Linked DNA regions of Coturnix japonica. The protein of the gene in region 1 interacts with the protein of each later gene in a pairwise test. Links are inferred from orthologs where the notes say so. Each region holds a gene or a part of one and is shown in the gene's direction. Other genes may lie near its edges.

The links.
Region 2: the proteins of very-long-chain enoyl-CoA reductase-like (region 1) and HACD2 interact in binary tests that used the Homo sapiens proteins (3 or more experiments, as listed by UniProt). The link is inferred for Coturnix japonica from reciprocal best matches to the Homo sapiens genes TECR and HACD2.

The regions. Positions count from the first base shown.
Region 1 is NC_029523.1:11,908,720-11,917,016, reverse strand, and holds part of very-long-chain enoyl-CoA reductase-like, read left to right. Parts: intron 1-5,352; coding exon 5,353-5,403; intron 5,404-5,834; coding exon 5,835-5,886; intron 5,887-6,270; coding exon 6,271-6,315; intron 6,316-7,595; coding exon 7,596-7,699; intron 7,700-8,297. UniProt on the Homo sapiens protein: Involved in both the production of very long-chain fatty acids for sphingolipid synthesis and the degradation of the sphingosine moiety in sphingolipids through the sphingosine 1-phosphate metabolic pathway.
Region 2 is NC_029522.1:19,843,397-19,851,693, forward strand, and holds part of HACD2 (very-long-chain (3R)-3-hydroxyacyl-CoA dehydratase 2), read left to right. Parts: intron 1-5,063; coding exon 5,064-5,185; intron 5,186-5,804; coding exon 5,805-5,983; intron 5,984-7,955; coding exon 7,956-8,038; 3' UTR 8,039-8,297. UniProt on the Homo sapiens protein: Catalyzes the third of the very long-chain fatty acids (VLCFA) elongation four-step cycle (condensation, reduction, dehydration, and reduction).

The DNA.
Region 1 (8,297 bases):
GACAGTTGTGCTGCTTCATTTAAAAGATGAGCAATTCGTTCTTTTTCTTCATGGAGCTTGAGAGAAACCCTAAATTTTGTAGAGGGAAATGTGACAATAAAATGTTACTTGGCAGGGAGTACCTGGAACCATTCAGGGTTTGAAGGCTGCTTTTGAAATCACAAGTCAAGAGAAAATAATGGACTTCTTTGGAGTATATTTTATAAAGTAGATGTGAGTACTGTGAGTTCAGCTGTCAGTATAAGAGCTCCAGGCTCCCCACACCTTCTGGGCTCCATCCCTTGCCAAAAGTCAGCAAACCGCATCTTGATACCTCTAGGTGAAAAATAATAATAATAATAAAAGTAAAACCCTTCCCCCCCTTCAGTCTCTTTAGTTCCATGTTTGAAGCCTGCCCTGGATTTACATTTTGACATCTACCCACCAAATAATTCATGAAAAGTAGTAGTGGAACTATAGATACTGAAGTTCAATATTGCAGATCACAGCACTGATTCAAAGAAATGATGGTGTTTTCACAGAGAATTTATAAGCTTCTTCAACCTGAATAATGTCACTGTGGAAAATAATCACTATGAGCTAGAGCCCTGAGCTATAGATCCTCTCTTTTGCACACGTAAAAGGCTATGAAGTGCTGTTGAAAAATCTGGGTATCTGCTCAGTGTCACATCAAAGCTGACTTAGGTTCTCAGATGGAAGCACTCCAGCCTGCTTTATAGTGACAGTGATACTCAGTGAATGATGTGAGTCTTCAGCGTGACTGAGAAGTTGGCAGCGTGCAGCCCTGTGTTAGCCAGAGCAAGAAAATACCCACTGAGTCAGAATTAACTGGTGCAGGTCACTTTCCCATCTTGTGTATCCTCTTGGAAGATATCATGATAGCAAAAGCTGGAAAGCTTTCATAGGCTCTCAGGAGTCAGAATTCACTGTAGTAAGCTCTAATACACAAACCTCTAACAGCTGTTTCTATTATTATTTTTTTTGGAGAGGGGATACAAATCTAGCCTCCCACTCCAGGGAATGAACCTTTACTTTTCTTCCTGACTATTCTTACAGACTCTTTCAATCAGTTATATAAATGGGTTTCTCTTTCTGAAGGATGACTGTTTGTAGCCCTACACCTGTTACTATTCACAGGTCCAGATCAAGAAAGCAAACTAAGCTTGCCATGCAGTTATGTTAGGCACCCAGCTCCAAGAGTGGTTGTTACAAACTATCCATCCAAGTTTACTTCAACTCCAACCCTTCACTGGTTGATGAAGTCATCAGCTGCAGGGAAATGATGAACAGAATGGCAATGGAAGGAAGCAGTGCTTAAAGTAAAGATGGGGATTTAGAATTTGTCTTTGGTAGAAGATTCTGTCTTTTTACTGGAAAACATTCCCACCCTTTCCTGTCTGTACTTTTTTGTCTCCTGAATCCTTTATTCCTTGGTGGCCCAGATTCTATGAGAGGAGTTGGTAGTAGCAGAAGACAGTCTATAGCAGATCTTCACTTCTTGGAAGTGTGTATAACCATTAGATATAAAGCATGAAGTTTCATTCAGAAGTAATTTAAATGCTGTGCTTTGTGCTGACCTTGGAATGAAGATGCTACTGGATGAAGGTCCTTAAGGATTGTCATGCAAACATGCCTAGCTAACAAGTCTGAAGCAGGTGGAAGAAATGAAAAGATACTGAGTTTCAGCACACTCCAGATGATGGTTCTCATGGGCATATGTAGGAGCAGAATTTTGGAGGCTGAGGAGTAAAACACCTGGTGTGTGTTTTGTGAACCTGTGCATGTGAGACATCTGTTTTATGAAAGAGAAATTTAACTGTCCAAGTATCACTGCATCTCCTTTTTAAAACTAGGTGAAATAGTAATAATATGCTAGTTTCATGAAATATCAGCTCTTCAGAGAGGTTGTGCTTTATGTAGTTGGACTACTGACAGAATAATAGCTTTCCATAGATAACAATGAAATAGTTCAGGGATAATCAATCCATTTTGCATAGCTTTCTCTTGGGCTGCTGAGTTCCTAGGCTATAAAACAAGCAGTTTGAGGTTGTTGTATTTTTTTTTTTTTTTCTAATGTAAAACTAAACCAATATAACATCTGCTTATGTTGGTGTTCAGAAAATCACTCTAAGCTGGAGTTTGAAGTTTACTGAAACTGCTGAGTACAAATGACTGCAAATAAAGCTTCCAACAAACAGAAACATGATGTGTCAGTATTTCCTCAAAGTTACCACATCACTTTTGAATATCTGTTGATGCTTAAGCATCAAACAGGCTTGAAGCTGGGAGAATTTGATTTATTGTATTTTTATAATCCTATTAAAGAGACACCATCTGAAAAAAAATAAAAATCAAACAGTTTGCTCAACCATTTCCCCTCTATGGATAAACTTTCTAAGCCTCTGAATATAAGTCTAACGCTTGAAAGTAGTTTTCTTGGCTTCCATCATCAGTTGATTACTTTGATCTTGACCCGTTCTAAACAATATTTCAGATTTTTTCTCTGCCCTTTAAGACACTATCAATATTTGCTCCATATTCATGAGAACAAATTTGCCTTCTAAACATTGAAGGTCTGTCCTTGTAGTCACTTCCAGAAGTGTTTTAACTAACAGGTATCTTGCACAAATCTGCCTATTGATTAAATTCTATTCAAAATAGTTTTAGAGAAGTGGTAAGTTAAAATGCCTTCAAAAATTCACCAAATACGTGATCTGCAAGTCACACCACACTAGTGCAAATGGGCTGTCTGTGTCCTGTTCTTCTAAACGCTTAAGGATGCTCCAAAATTAAAATTCTCTGAGCCATAAATTTATGTTTAAAAGGGCTGGTACACATCAGTTAGTGTTCCAAGAACAGATTGCTGGGTATCTAAAGACTGTTGCCAACCAATACATTAACTGACTTGGTGCTGTGCCCGAAGGCTGGAAACACTGTGTTCAGTGCTATCTAGGTTCATGTGGCTGGCCATTATGTTCAGAAAAGATAACATTTCATACTTTGCATCAGTTTTTTCTGTCTGTTATGCAGGGAACAGCTGACTACTGTGAGGACATTTTGTCACAGATAAGAGGCATGATGGTTAAAGGAAATGGTTACCTTTGCTTTCACTCTGTTGTCATACAAATTTATGCAGGCTGCAATGGAATCTACAGCTGTATTCTTGTGTTCCTCTTTCTGAAAGAGGAAAACATGTATGATATTTCCTTAGATCCTAAAAGTAACTGATAGTAACCAAAATATTTCAAGTTCAGGAAGGACTGTCCAAAAATTCCTCATCATTGAATAACAGAGGTTGCAAAGGACTTCTGGAAGTTGTGTAGGCCAGCTGTTGCTCAAAGCAGATGCAACTAGATCTAACTGCACTGGGTCTTGTCCAGCCCAGTTTTAAACACGTCCAAAGACAGAGATTCTACATTGCCTCTAGGCTACTTGGTCAAATATTGGGGCATTTTCTTTGTATCTGACTGGATTTTCCCACAATGCAGCTGTTGTCCATTGCTTCTCATCACTGACACTGCACCTTCAAATAAGTTTGGATGCATCATAGAGGCTCCTATTATGTTTTTGAAGAAATGGGCTGATACAGGAAGGTATGCCAGTTTGGCACTCCAAAGAGACATCTTGCCATCAAACCAAATAGGGATACAGAAGATCCTGGATGATTTGTTTTATTTTTTTCCATACTGATTCCAGTGGTTCACAGAAATAGCAGAATTTCTGCCCAAATGCCCCCAAGAAGAACACAGAGCAAAAGAAAATGTCTTGTAATTTTCTGTCTGACCTTGTGCAACATGAGAGTAAACAAAACAGAAGAGCAGAAAGATGGCCAGACTGCTCTGTAATTGGCCTGGAGAGGACTTCTCTAACATGGACACTGAAAGTCATAGAATAAAACTGCATGGGGAGAGAGATTCCAATCCAATATGCACATGCTGTCCGTGGGTATGAAATGAGGAGGAGGCTTCTAAACTAATCATTGCTGTAGTTAGTAGGGCTGCCCAATGGTGTTCTTTGATACAAAAACTGAGATACACCAAAGGTTTCAATAAACCTTGTAGCATTTGAGCAATAAAACTCAGCATTACAAGGGACAAAAACTGATCTAAAACCCCCAAGGTCCCTGTTTGGTGGGCTGTGAGAGTCAGAATGCTGTCAGTACTGCAGAGTAACACAATTCACTTCATTTGCTTTCCCACTGAGATCTCCCACAGAGGCAGTAACACTGATAATTTACATTGTTTCAAATATACATTAAAAAAACCACAACAACAAAGAGAGAAATACATAACACCCCAATAACATGGCATAGATTCTTCATGAATTGCAAAGGAGGAAAAGTGCTTACCTCCCTCAGCACCTCCTTTAGGGCTTATAGTGCACAGGTGGAAAATACTACCGCATTAGTATCCCTTGTGGGGATCAGATCTGATACTTCTGTCTGGAGCTGAAGTGCTTCATTGCTACACTAACAGAGAGAGAACAATTTGGGACAAGTAAAAGGAGGAAATAAGATACTCAGAGTGATCTCTTCAAAGAAACTGTTAGAAAGATTTTGGACTGTGACTCCGACTTTTAGTCAGGAATCATGTTTAAAGTCTACTGTTAATCTGTCCTCTTGGTCAGTTAATACCAAATGTAATTAATGGTAGACATTTATTGTAAAAATAAACAAAACCAAAGAACAAAACCCAAACTGGGGAATGACGGTCACAGTCATTTAGTGTGACGGATAAGCTTTTATTCTTCAATCTTAGCTGTACCACAGAGTTCCATTACTGGGTGTTTGATGAAAACAAATGGAATTAAAACACAACCAGTGTATTTTAAGAGCCTGTTGCAATGGAACTTTGAATCATCTCAGAACCTTCCTGCTCAGCTGTTGATTAAAATTCACATATTCACAGTATTTGCTTCCATGCATATATGTGTGCATTCTCAAATGGTCTTTCTAGATTTACAAATCAGAACAGTTCTGAAGACAAACTGATTTCTTAATGATTTGCGTGAAACTTCTCTTTCCTTCATTTGTTCCTTTTGTGTTAGCTTAAGATAACATGAATATGCATATGAATATGCATATTTTGGTCAGTTAATTAGCTACTGCTGCTTCTGAATTTATCCAGGAAGACAATTTATTTGGCAAGAGTGTTACTTTTGTTCACAAATTGAGTTCTTTGAGAACCTCGCTGTGATTAAAACTGTTCTTGAGCACATCAGAATTTTTTCTAACACATAGAACGGAGAAAAATGGTGTCTCATTCTGAATAGTGATTGTGAATTTGATCGTCAACTAAAAGTTTAGATATTATGCAGTCAGTAGTTAATGATTATTGTTTTGTATCCTATCAGGTGGAAATCCTTGACTGGAAGACAAAGGAACAATTATGCTTCCTAGATAAGGTAAAATAAAAATCTGCCCAAAACTTTAGGTGACTATTTAAAAATTGCTAGCTCTTTTTAAAGCAAAGTTAATGTTTGTGAAAAGTTTTCTGATAGCCCTTCTTTGGTATTAAGGAGACAATAACTATTCATGCTTCATATGCTTCATACCTCTTCACAAAGGAGCTCTTGTGCAAAGAACACAATTTCACTTGCTTCTGTAAGATGGTGCCAGTTGTCCCTTTCTCATTTAGAAGCCCTCAAACTCTCACTGCTGCTGTAGTAACACTTTGAGTACTGCCACAGTAGCTGCCTCTGAAACAGATGCCACAAATCAGGTCCTCCGCTTTTCCTGTAAGAAGTGTTTTGAATTGTTCATACCAATCCTAATAGCTGTCTTCATAAATATGCATCTTATATACATATATGTATATATGTTCTTTTTTGCCTAGGTGGAACCAAATGCTACAATTAGGGAGATAAGATCAATGTTCCATAAATTATGTGAGTATAACTTTTGCAATAGTTTGTGTTACATCAGAATATCCAGTATGGAAACAGGAGAAAATTATATAAGATGAAACATGATGCATACACACAGTAGGGTTTGGAATGAGATGATCTTTACAGTCTCTTCCAACCCAAGCCATTCTATGATTTCATGATAATGTGAGGTAACTTGCACATGAACGTGATCACAGTGAGATTTCAGTACTAGCCTGATACACCTTTGTATTTTTCCTGCTGCACAGTTTGTTGTGGATGTTCATATTAAATTAATATTCCTAAGTATCTTCAAATAAATCTCACTGTATTGTGTGTCATTCATTGTAACTGGACAATCTAAAACAAACATTGTATATCACACAGTTCTTCATGGTTTTACAGATCCTCAGTGGTATCCAGCAAGACAGTCAATAAAGCTTGATCCAAGTAAGTACCTGTAAAGACTAGAGTCATAAAGCTCTAAGCAGTGGTCTCACATGGAAGGTGGACTTTGCATAGGTATTAGCTGTTAAAAATGAGTTTCCAGCTATGTTACTTAGCACTGTAAAGGCTGAAAAGGCTCCAAAAAAAAAAATCTAATTCCTTTGAAGTATTGAAAAGAGGTTCATCCATGTGTTTGGCACTTGGTAATTAACTCAGGAGTCTGCATATTGTTCCAATGCATTTTCTAACTACTGATCACCTTTGCTTTAAAGACACGCAGCACAGATTTTAGACAATAATTTCCCTTATCTGCAATGGAATGATTCCCATAGAGACTCTAAACTGGGAGCACTAAGGAGATATTAATTCATATAATCCTCTGCTCTCAGGCAGGAATTAAAATTCCTTTGAGGTAAGCAAATACAAAACATATTGCCACGAATTTGCTGACAAATCTTGATGCCAGGTGGTTGACTGGATTAATGTAGCTGCAGGTATCACTGCTGGAAGCCTTGTAGTACATGGCTTGGGTGCACAAAAGATAGTCTAATTGACAAATTACATTAAATCATCTTAGCGTTCAGTACAAAATGTATCACTTTGTTCTTCTGCTTCTATTAAGCTTAATTTGATTTATATATTCCCTTTAAAATTATGCTAGTGATAATTAGTTCATCATTTAGAATCTGTCCGTGGAAAACAGGTATATAAGTGCCTTATTTCCTTTTTCAAAGATCTACCTTTTCAGATTCCTCCAAATCCAGACATTAAAAAACTTGAGCTCCAGCTTAGTTCCTGTGGAATCATCTCTTGGCTGGTTGTTTGGAAAAAAAAACAAACAACCAAAATCAGGTAGTAAAAACCTCTGAAGGAAGGCCTTCCCTTTACAGCTTATCTCATCTTTGTGTCTATTGATGAGCAATGAGAAGCAGGCAAGAGAGAGATATGGTGAAGCTGACTAGGTCAGTGAACTATACTAAAGGGTAGTGTCCCATCAGCAAATTCTGCTGTAGCAGTGATGAAGCAGGTCTACCAGACTAGGCAGACAGACAGGACTGGGAATTCTTCTGTCTCGGTGTGAATAGAAGACCTGGATCTATATGTTATCCCAGGGGGAATTCAAAATTAAGCGTAAACTTCCTTAGAATTTTTTAAACTTAGATTGCAATAAACTTATGTCAGGTCAAAGAATCTCAGAGACTTTTAAAAGTACAAATGGAGCTAGTTTGCTAGTGTAGTTGATTTGAATTTCACTGAGATGTAATTACCTCTTTCCTTCTCAGAAGGAAAGTCCCTGAGGAATGAGGAAATCCTGCAGCACCTCCCTGTTGGCACAACTGCTACTTTATACTTTAAAGATTTAGGGCCACAGATAGGATGGACTACGGTGAGCTATGCTTCAAATCTGAGCCAATTTGATGGCTGTTTCTCCATAATTAATCTTTACATCACTTTTTGTCTCACTCCAATATTTCTGCATGATGCCTGCTCTGACAGTGGATGCAGGCAATGAACCCTCATTTGCTTCAGTTCATTTTATCCAGGGAAAGCAGCAAGAAAACATTTTGAATGTCTAGTTCCCTAGGAGAGCAGCAGAGGAAAACTTGCTACAGGTTAGTCTGGCCATGCTGAACTAAGGTACAGGTTCTCAGATATGTTTACATGTCTAATGCAAAATCACGGGGAACTACATATCTAAATTCCTGTGCATCTCTCCTGGCAGAGATCAGGATTAAACTCCCAAGTTTGTCCTGTGAAGAGGCATCTGAAAAACTTACCTGTCAATGACTCAGCTGACCTCAGTGGGAAAATTCATGAAAGTAAAATTAGTTGTTCATGGCTGTGTCCCAGGATGCTAATGCCAGGCTAATGACAGCTGATCATTCTGTAATCCATGAAGACCTCATGTTTACTCTCTCAACTTAAAGACAAGACCCATCACAACACCCTCAGCAGGTGACCCTACATTCATGTTTATACGAGGT
Region 2 (8,297 bases), on another chromosome or scaffold:
GATCATTTGAAATTGATTCCCAGTGGATGGCTATTTTAATATGTGGGCATGCTTTAAATGATACAGATCGTGCTGACTGGCTTCGTATCATACGAGTACTTTGCGGTAGTCCACATATGCTGCATCTATGCTGTTAGTGCAGCCAGCTGATCTTTTTGTGTAATTGAGGAAAGAAATTAGTCTTGATTCCTCAGCATAGCTGACTGAAAGACAGACATCTAATGTTGTTATGTGTGCCTATGAAAGGTACTTTGTGGCTTGACAAGGAGAATGTCTTAAGGAGTTTGTCTCCTTGCCAAGTCTTCAGGGAAGCTGCTTTCTTTTCCTTACTCCAGCACCTGTTATCGCAGTGTCCATCCGTATGCAGAGGAATGTAAGTCTCTGTATATGCTCATAATTCACTTCCCCTTCTGATGTTGTAGTGGTTGTCCATGTGGTACCTTAGTTTTGTGTGACTAGAAGTGAATGAGTGTTATTTTTCTCAAGAGACTCACAATATTTATGTCCTGACAGATCTTATTTTTGGTGCACTTAGAAGTGTTCCATTCTCTGCAGCTTGGTGGAGATAAATGCCAGAGAAATCTACACAGTGATTGTGGGTTGGGCTTTTTTAAACTTATGCCCACGTTTTCACCAGGAAAAAAAAAAAAAAAAGCAACAGTGGAATGAGAGGATTTACAAGCAAGTTTAGCCCAACACTGAGTTTTTAACAAGGATCATTTCAATAATGTTGTGCGTGGCTTTTTTTCCCCTTTCGGTTGTGTGATTGTGAGGTTAAAATCCAGAGAGAGACTGTCTCGTGTTCCTTCTTTTAATGTCTCAGAAAGTTGGCATAAGAATGATTAGGAGTCCTGAGATGATCTTTTCACCTGTGACTTAGAGGTACTGAGTCAGATGAAGAGGCAATGTTCTTTCCCCCATCAGTCTGTCTTCACCCTAAGCAGAGAGCGTGCAGTCTTGCCTGGGGAGATGTATTTCAAGTGTCACAAGTGTTCTACTCTTTCTAGAGGGCTGTCTGCACAATTGAGCTCCATGATGAAGTCCAGGATTAAATTCTCACACAGCTTATGGAACTTGTAAGCTATGCAGTTGCATGATGAGGTTCTTGTAAAATAAAACTCAATTTTCCTCTTTAACTTTTTGAGTGAGAGCTGTTCAATATCTTGCTTTTTCAGACTGTTTTGTATCTAATAAGGTTAAAAGAAGAAAAATCTGTATTGCATCCCTTTTTTCCTGCCCAAATATACTTGGAGATACTTGATGTGATTTGAAGCATGCTTGCTGCTAACATGTTTGTGCTTTTTGTTGAGTTTTTAGTACTGATGTGTTGTTAAATTCGGTATTTATTGTAAATGTTAAAGCATGGCAAATGCTAAAGCACTGCACACTTCTTGGAGTAGTGATTAGACTTCCCTTTATCTCCCCAATGTATTTTGCTATTAACGTAGTGGAGAAGGGCCTGGTGTGTAATATAGCACCTGTACTCCAGAAAATAGCATTTTGTCAGTGTATTGGAAAGGAATTGGTTTGGTGAATTTTACTGATTCTTCTGCAAAGGAGGGAAGAGAATGAGGAGTGAAGGGCTGAAAGAAAATAGGGAGAGGAAAACAGAAGGTGCCTTTCAGTTCCAAGTTGTCTTTTTGAGTTGATGTGAACAGTAAGATCATCTGGTGCCATCACAGAAGGCCTTTGTGGAGTTCAGTGTTGCAGCTGATTCTGACAGCTAATTAGAAAAGGTGCTAGCTGTGATTTAAAGATAGTGTTACAAAGGTAGCATTGTATACACTTAGAGGAACCTTTCTAGAACACAATCAAAAAACACAGTGTGAGAAAGACATGTACAGCTCATTGAGCACATAATTAAGACAACAACATCTGCAAACTTGCCATCTTCCATCAGCAGTAAAGGATACTTACACTTAAGATTGAAGAGTGTTCTAATTAAGAATCACACACTGGGAAGTTCTGAATAGCAAATTGGTTGGTGAGTGTAGCTGACAGACCTAATTTATCACTGCTTTACATCTGTGTAAAGTTTGAGTAATTCTGTACAACACAAATGTCTGTCAGGCCCTTTATACCTCCTGTATATACCTCCTTTATACCTGCAGTGTTTTTTAACTGATATTCCACAAAAGCCAAGCTGTGGACTGGAGAAAGATGCGTTTCAGCATCTCTGTTGCGCAGTGCTGCTGGTTTTTACCTTTCTGTTTTATGGTCTATTTAGCTGCAATGATCACTAAGCTATTTGTCAGACTGTTACTCTCAATTCTGTAGGTCTCTCCATATTTCTACGTTCATGATACCTTATACCTTTCAAATCTTGTCTGTAACTTTTTGTACGTAAGAAGAGCAGTAAAAGCATCTTAGACCTTATTTTGTTGATTCCCAATTTGGAATCTCAATTTTGCACCTTAAAAGGCTATAAATTCTCTTGTATTTCAAGACTTTTTGTTATCTGTAGTCATGAAGGCAAGCAGGAATATGTGCAAGACCCCCTGGATGATAAATGGAAACACATGCCAAAAATTATGCCCGTGGTATAATTCACCCTAATTAAGGCTGCTGGACAAATAAGGTGTATACAAAGTATAAAACATGCTTTGACTTTTTCTAACACCACTTCCAAAGACTGGAATGAAAAGATAGAGGAAGAAAAATTGGGTTCTGAGGGCAGTACTGGGATTTGTGGTTTAAAAAGGATCTGCTGTTTATTGGCTGTATTCTCCTCCGTACACAGAGGTTGGAAGAGGAATGATACAAATGCAGCATTAGCAGTGCCTCAATGAATAAGACTCTCGAGGGACTGTTTTGTAAATCAGTTCCCAGGAGTTTGATAATGTACATCTCAAACATCTTTATCTAAAGTATTGTGACATTGTCAGTCCTCAAAGAAAAGCTCTAATAGTGACAGATTTTTGACAGATCCATTAGTGTGTAAGAAATGTACTTTTTAATTATGAGCTGTGGAATTTGGTTAAAATGTGATGCTAAAGTTCACGGTAGTCTTTTGCTCCCCGTTATAAAAGAGTGTTTGAAAAGTTCATAGATCACTCTTGCACAAAACTACCGGTCTCCAACGTTCCTCCTTCTTTAAGCAGGGACACAAATTGTAAGACACAGTCTAAGTGACCCTTTTGTTGTTGATGGTGTGAGCAGTTTCAGTAGTTTCCAATCAGGGTTCCAACACTAAGGCTGATAGAAAAGACTACACTTGAGAAAGTGGTGTTACCAGTCCTGCAATCATCTGGCAGTTACAGTTTCAGTTCTCTGTCCTCCTATGTGCATCGGTCACTGCTGGCCTAACAGTTTCTTGTTCTTGGTTCTTTGGGTGCTCCTTCAAGCTACAAATTTCCACTTGTTGGTTCTATTGATTTCCAAAGTTAGGAAAAGAAACGGAGTTTCGAAGGACAGGTTGAAGTCTGGGATGCATAAGTTTAGCTTGCTCACTAAGCTGCTAGTCCTGAGCTGACCGGAAGATGCAGCTCTGGAGTGGTTGTGAGGGTTGATGCTCCTTGGGAACAGCATCATCTGTGAAGTGATGCTGACTTCCAGGCTGAGAACTAAGTCTTCTTTATAAAGCAGACCACAAGCACAGTTAAGATCCTTTTCTAGTTACTTAAGCAGTGTGTAAAATAAATGTGGTTTCTTCTCTGAAAATCTTCAAATGGGTTTTGGATATTGCTCTTTTATGGCCTTGTTAAGGTAGACTAATATATAAGGAAATTTTCAGTTTCAAGTGAAAAAGGATGAGGTGTGTTTTGTGCAAAATGTCACGAGGGTGACTTTAATTGTTGTACAAAGCAGAATATAGAATAACAGTAATTGTACTTCACAGGATTCCCAACATTTTTATACAATTCTTGGATTCTGTGGTCTCTGTAACAAAGGGGTTTTTTAATGAGTAATCCTTGTGAACTTCTTTATACACAAGCATATGATCAGTCCCTTCCTATTAAAAGGTTTCTGCTTGCCCGTATATTTTCTTGTTCCTTTGTTTGTACATGTACTCTGCCCAAGATGAATAGGGTGTACCACCCACACCTACCGACTTCCTTTTCCCTTTTTTCAAGAGTTGGAGGAAAAAAGTAAATGCAGCTCCTTGTAGTTGAGCTCTTTTGTTCCCACGGTCTACAGAATTTGGGCTGAAGGTGCTCAGACAGCTGAGAATTCACATCGTGCTTCTGTTGGGTGGGGAGGTTGCTGCATAAGAAATTGTGTTCTCTCTCTGGAGTTTATTGTGCAGGTATGTGGCCCTGTATAACTCCTCATATCTGCTACCCATCTGAAACTCATAATTATGCTCCCAAATCTAATGGTTCATTTTTAAATACACACTTTTGAAGGTTAATCTTCAAAACATGAGGGGAGTAGAAACTGTTTTTGTAATGTGCATTTTCAGTTCAGGCTCTAAGGAGGGTAAAGCAGTGAAACAAAGTGGTGCCTTGAGCATTAGCAGTAACATTTAGAGGAACAATGTTCCATGCAGTAAGTGGGGAGAAGGAGCAGGGAAGGATGCAGCAGGTAGTTGTCAAGCTTATCTGAAGTGAGGCAGCCTGAGCTAATGGTGCTTTGCTGCTCTCAACCTGTGACCTACTGATTGCTGCCTTGTTGCTGCTCAGAATTAAGAGCCAGTTACTCACTTGAAGGGAGTGAGGAAAACTGTTTCCCTTTTCCTCAAGAAATAGCACTTGGTAGGATCAGAGTGTAAAATCTAAACCAGATGTTGAATGCTAGTATCCTGTGCTCTTCCTGTGCGAGAAAGCAATCACAGGACTGAAGCAGAACTTGGTACTGTATAGGAGTGGAAAGGACAAGTTACAAGCTTTTCTCAGTATCTGATCAGCAGAGCTATTCTTAAGCCGACTAGAAAAATATGGAGCATGACAAGAGATTTTTTTGCTGTCATTACTAATGTGGCTTTTAAGCTTTTTCCTAGAGTCTGTTTTCTAAACTGATGCAGTAAAGCAGCCCATGGGAATGACTTACTTCAGGGTGTTTAAGTCTGGTGAATAATTAGTAACACGTGTGTTCATATTTAACCTTTTGCTTCTTCCTTGCAGGTACAAACTGAAGACAGTGTCCTGTTGTTTGTAGTGGCCTGGACAATCACAGAGATAATCCGTTACTCTTTTTACACCTTTAGCTTGTTAAACCATCTCCCTTATCTCATTAAATGGGCCAGGTAGGTGGCAATTAAAAATAATAATAATAATAATGGCCTTGAAGCACTGTTTTGATGGAGGTATTTCTCCTGTAATGTAGTTGCAGCAGAGCAAGTTATGTTCTGTCTCAGTGTAATTGTGCTGTTAGTGAAAGTGACTTCCTAGATTCCTTCCAAAGATTTCTGGATTTGAAATGTATTAAATGTTAGCTGAAAGTACTTTATTAGAACTCAGTACTGTTTATGAAGTGATTATGGCAAGTAAACTAATGTCTACCAATAACCATTGAATCTGAGGGTTGTACCTGAAACAGTTGAGCTCGCTAATTAATACTGACTGGCCCTATTTTAATGATATGTTCTCAACTAAGGAGTTTGATGTCCTCGAGTACAGAGTTTGGACATCGAAGTAATGAAGTGTGGGGGTGCGGGAATTGTTTTAAAGATACCATTCAGATTCTCAAAGATGGTCCTTTTAATAATTCAGAACTGGTTGTTGATGTCAATATTTTGTCTTGCATTGATGTTCGTATACTGCCGTGCTCAAATCAAAGTTAAGGGTCTAGAAGTTGAACATCCATAGCTGTACTTATGTACTTTGTCACAACTTTTAATCCTTTTCTTAAATGTTTTGTTCTAGGTATACTTTGTTTATAATATTGTACCCAATGGGAGTCACTGGGGAATTACTCACAATATATGCTGCACTACCCTACGTCAGGCAGTCTGGCTTGTATTCCATTAGTTTACCTAATAAGTACAACTTTTCTTTTGACTATTACACATTCCTGATCCTGGTTATGATCTCTTACATTCCACGTAAGTACAAGTTTGTTTGTTCTTTAATATTAAAAGCAGTGTCGGGAAAAGCTAACAATTGTGGGATTAGCATCTACACAACTCATTTTACAAAATTCATTGTGAAGATTATTTAAAGAAAGAAGTCAGAGTTAAAACTGCAGGGGTTGCTTCCTAGCAATGATTATAATATAGTAATATGTGTTGTTTTTTTTTTCTCTTACATTTGATACATAAAATAACCGTAGTGCTCAGCAAACATTGACATCTTCATTTTGTTCCCACTTACAGACTTCAGGAGAGCAAGATTTAAAGAAGTTTCTTAAAATGTGGTTCAGGGATGCATTTCTGTTGAATTAACTTGAGTTGATACTGTCTTTGGTGAATGTTTTTACAGGTGAAGGTTTGGCTTTGCTGCTTAGAAACAGTGATTAAGAGCGTGTAGGTCTTCAGCCAATTTAGATTTGCAGATGGAGGTTTAATGTGCAAAATAATGCAGTGGCACTGATGCTCACTATCTCTGTAGCTGTGTTTTTATGAACGTTGTTACTTATGCTGAGTGACAAATGGTATTCTAAGGTTTTAATTTCAGTACTGTGGCTGTCTATAAGCGCTTCTTCTTTCTGTGAACTATTTTGGACATCAAAATTTGTGACTTCTTCCTGCTGCTCCTAAGAATTCTTTTTATACACATGTAGCTATCCTCCAGAAACACTGATATTACTAACTCCAAGGAGCCAGAGCAATATCTTTTGTTCCTCCCCTAATAAACACAGGTATTAATTACTTCTTATGAGATTGCTTGCTCCCAACTGACAAACCACATGAGAGAGAAGTACATTGAACTCAAATAATTTCAGCCCTGTTTCTCCATTAAAATTGCAGTCTTTCAGATATTTTGTAACTCATTATCCTTTGCTGGTTGTGTAACTTAAATTCAGCCTTTTTAAAAATTATTATTATTTATTATTGTGATTTGGTATCTTGCTTCTGAGAACTGGCTGTGTGGACTTGAGAAATCATAGGTACCTTTTCACAGGCGGATATTCCTGTATTGTTCCAGAGATTCAAGAAAAGCAGCAATCATTGCAGTTATTCATAAAAGCAAGCTATGCAGGAAGCTTGTCTTCTGAACCCGCTGCAGGTCTTAGGAATTTTGGGAAGGTTAACATCATGAAGAAAGCAAGTTTTAAATCCACTGTTAAAATTTAAGATTAATATTCTTGATAGTTGCATCTTACCATTGATCTGGCTTAAAGTATCAAAGTTAGTTCTTGGCTGTCAAATAAACATCTTGCCAGATATCATTCAATTCTTTGTGTATAATAGATACCAAATATTTAAACTTCAAAAAGAAACCACATGGCTCTGTATACTTCTGTGTTTCCGGACAGATGTATTCACTACTTAACACGGGCGAGTGTAACTGTTGGTATTGACCTTATTTTATCTTCACGTTGCTCACAAAGATGGAAGCTTTTGCTGTTTTGCATCTCCTGTTTCACTCTTCTGAAAACATACTGTGTAATGTAACCTTAGAAATAGGAGGAAAGAAGCTTTGGAGGGAGGATAGGGATGCAATGGCCACCAGTTTTTTTTAAATACTGAAAAAGAGACACTGGAATCATAAGATATGAAACAAACCTGTGAATTTCGTTCTTTCTGGTGACTTCTGTTTCTCATGGTACTTTTTTTTCCTCCCCAAAACGCAGTTTATTGTCTGCCTGCAGGTCAAGAAACTTTGTCGTTTCTCTTGTATGTGCAAAGTTAATTATGAAATAATGTATTTTGCCTTGAATTAAAAATGGCATCGTTCTAACAAAAATTAAGCAGTACCTGAAGATTAAGGGCAATATTGCTTGTTTTTAGCCAGAAGATGATTTGAGCAGAGTGGAAAAGCAGATTTTCTTTTAACAGAATCAGTGACCTTGAGTATATGAGTGTGTTTTACACCAACGACAGAAGCCTGACTTCTTCTTTTGTCTGTTTTCAGTCTTTCCCCAGCTGTATTTTCACATGCTACATCAGAGGCGAAAGGTGCTTTCCCACACTGAAGAACACAAGAAGCCGGAGTAATTTCAATTCTTTCAGAACTTTTCAAACATTGAAATGCTGCAGATTTTCAATACCAAGCATATTTATAATGAATACACCAAAATAAAACGTGTCAAAGGTAAAAGACCAATAATTAGCAAGAATAACCAATAAATCTGAGTTCACTGAAATTCCACAATGTAAAACATCCAAATAATTTTCAGCTTGCAGTGCTTCGGAAAACTTCTAAACTTTCCCTGGCTTGGCAGGTAGCCTTTTACTTTTCATTAACTGTTGTGCT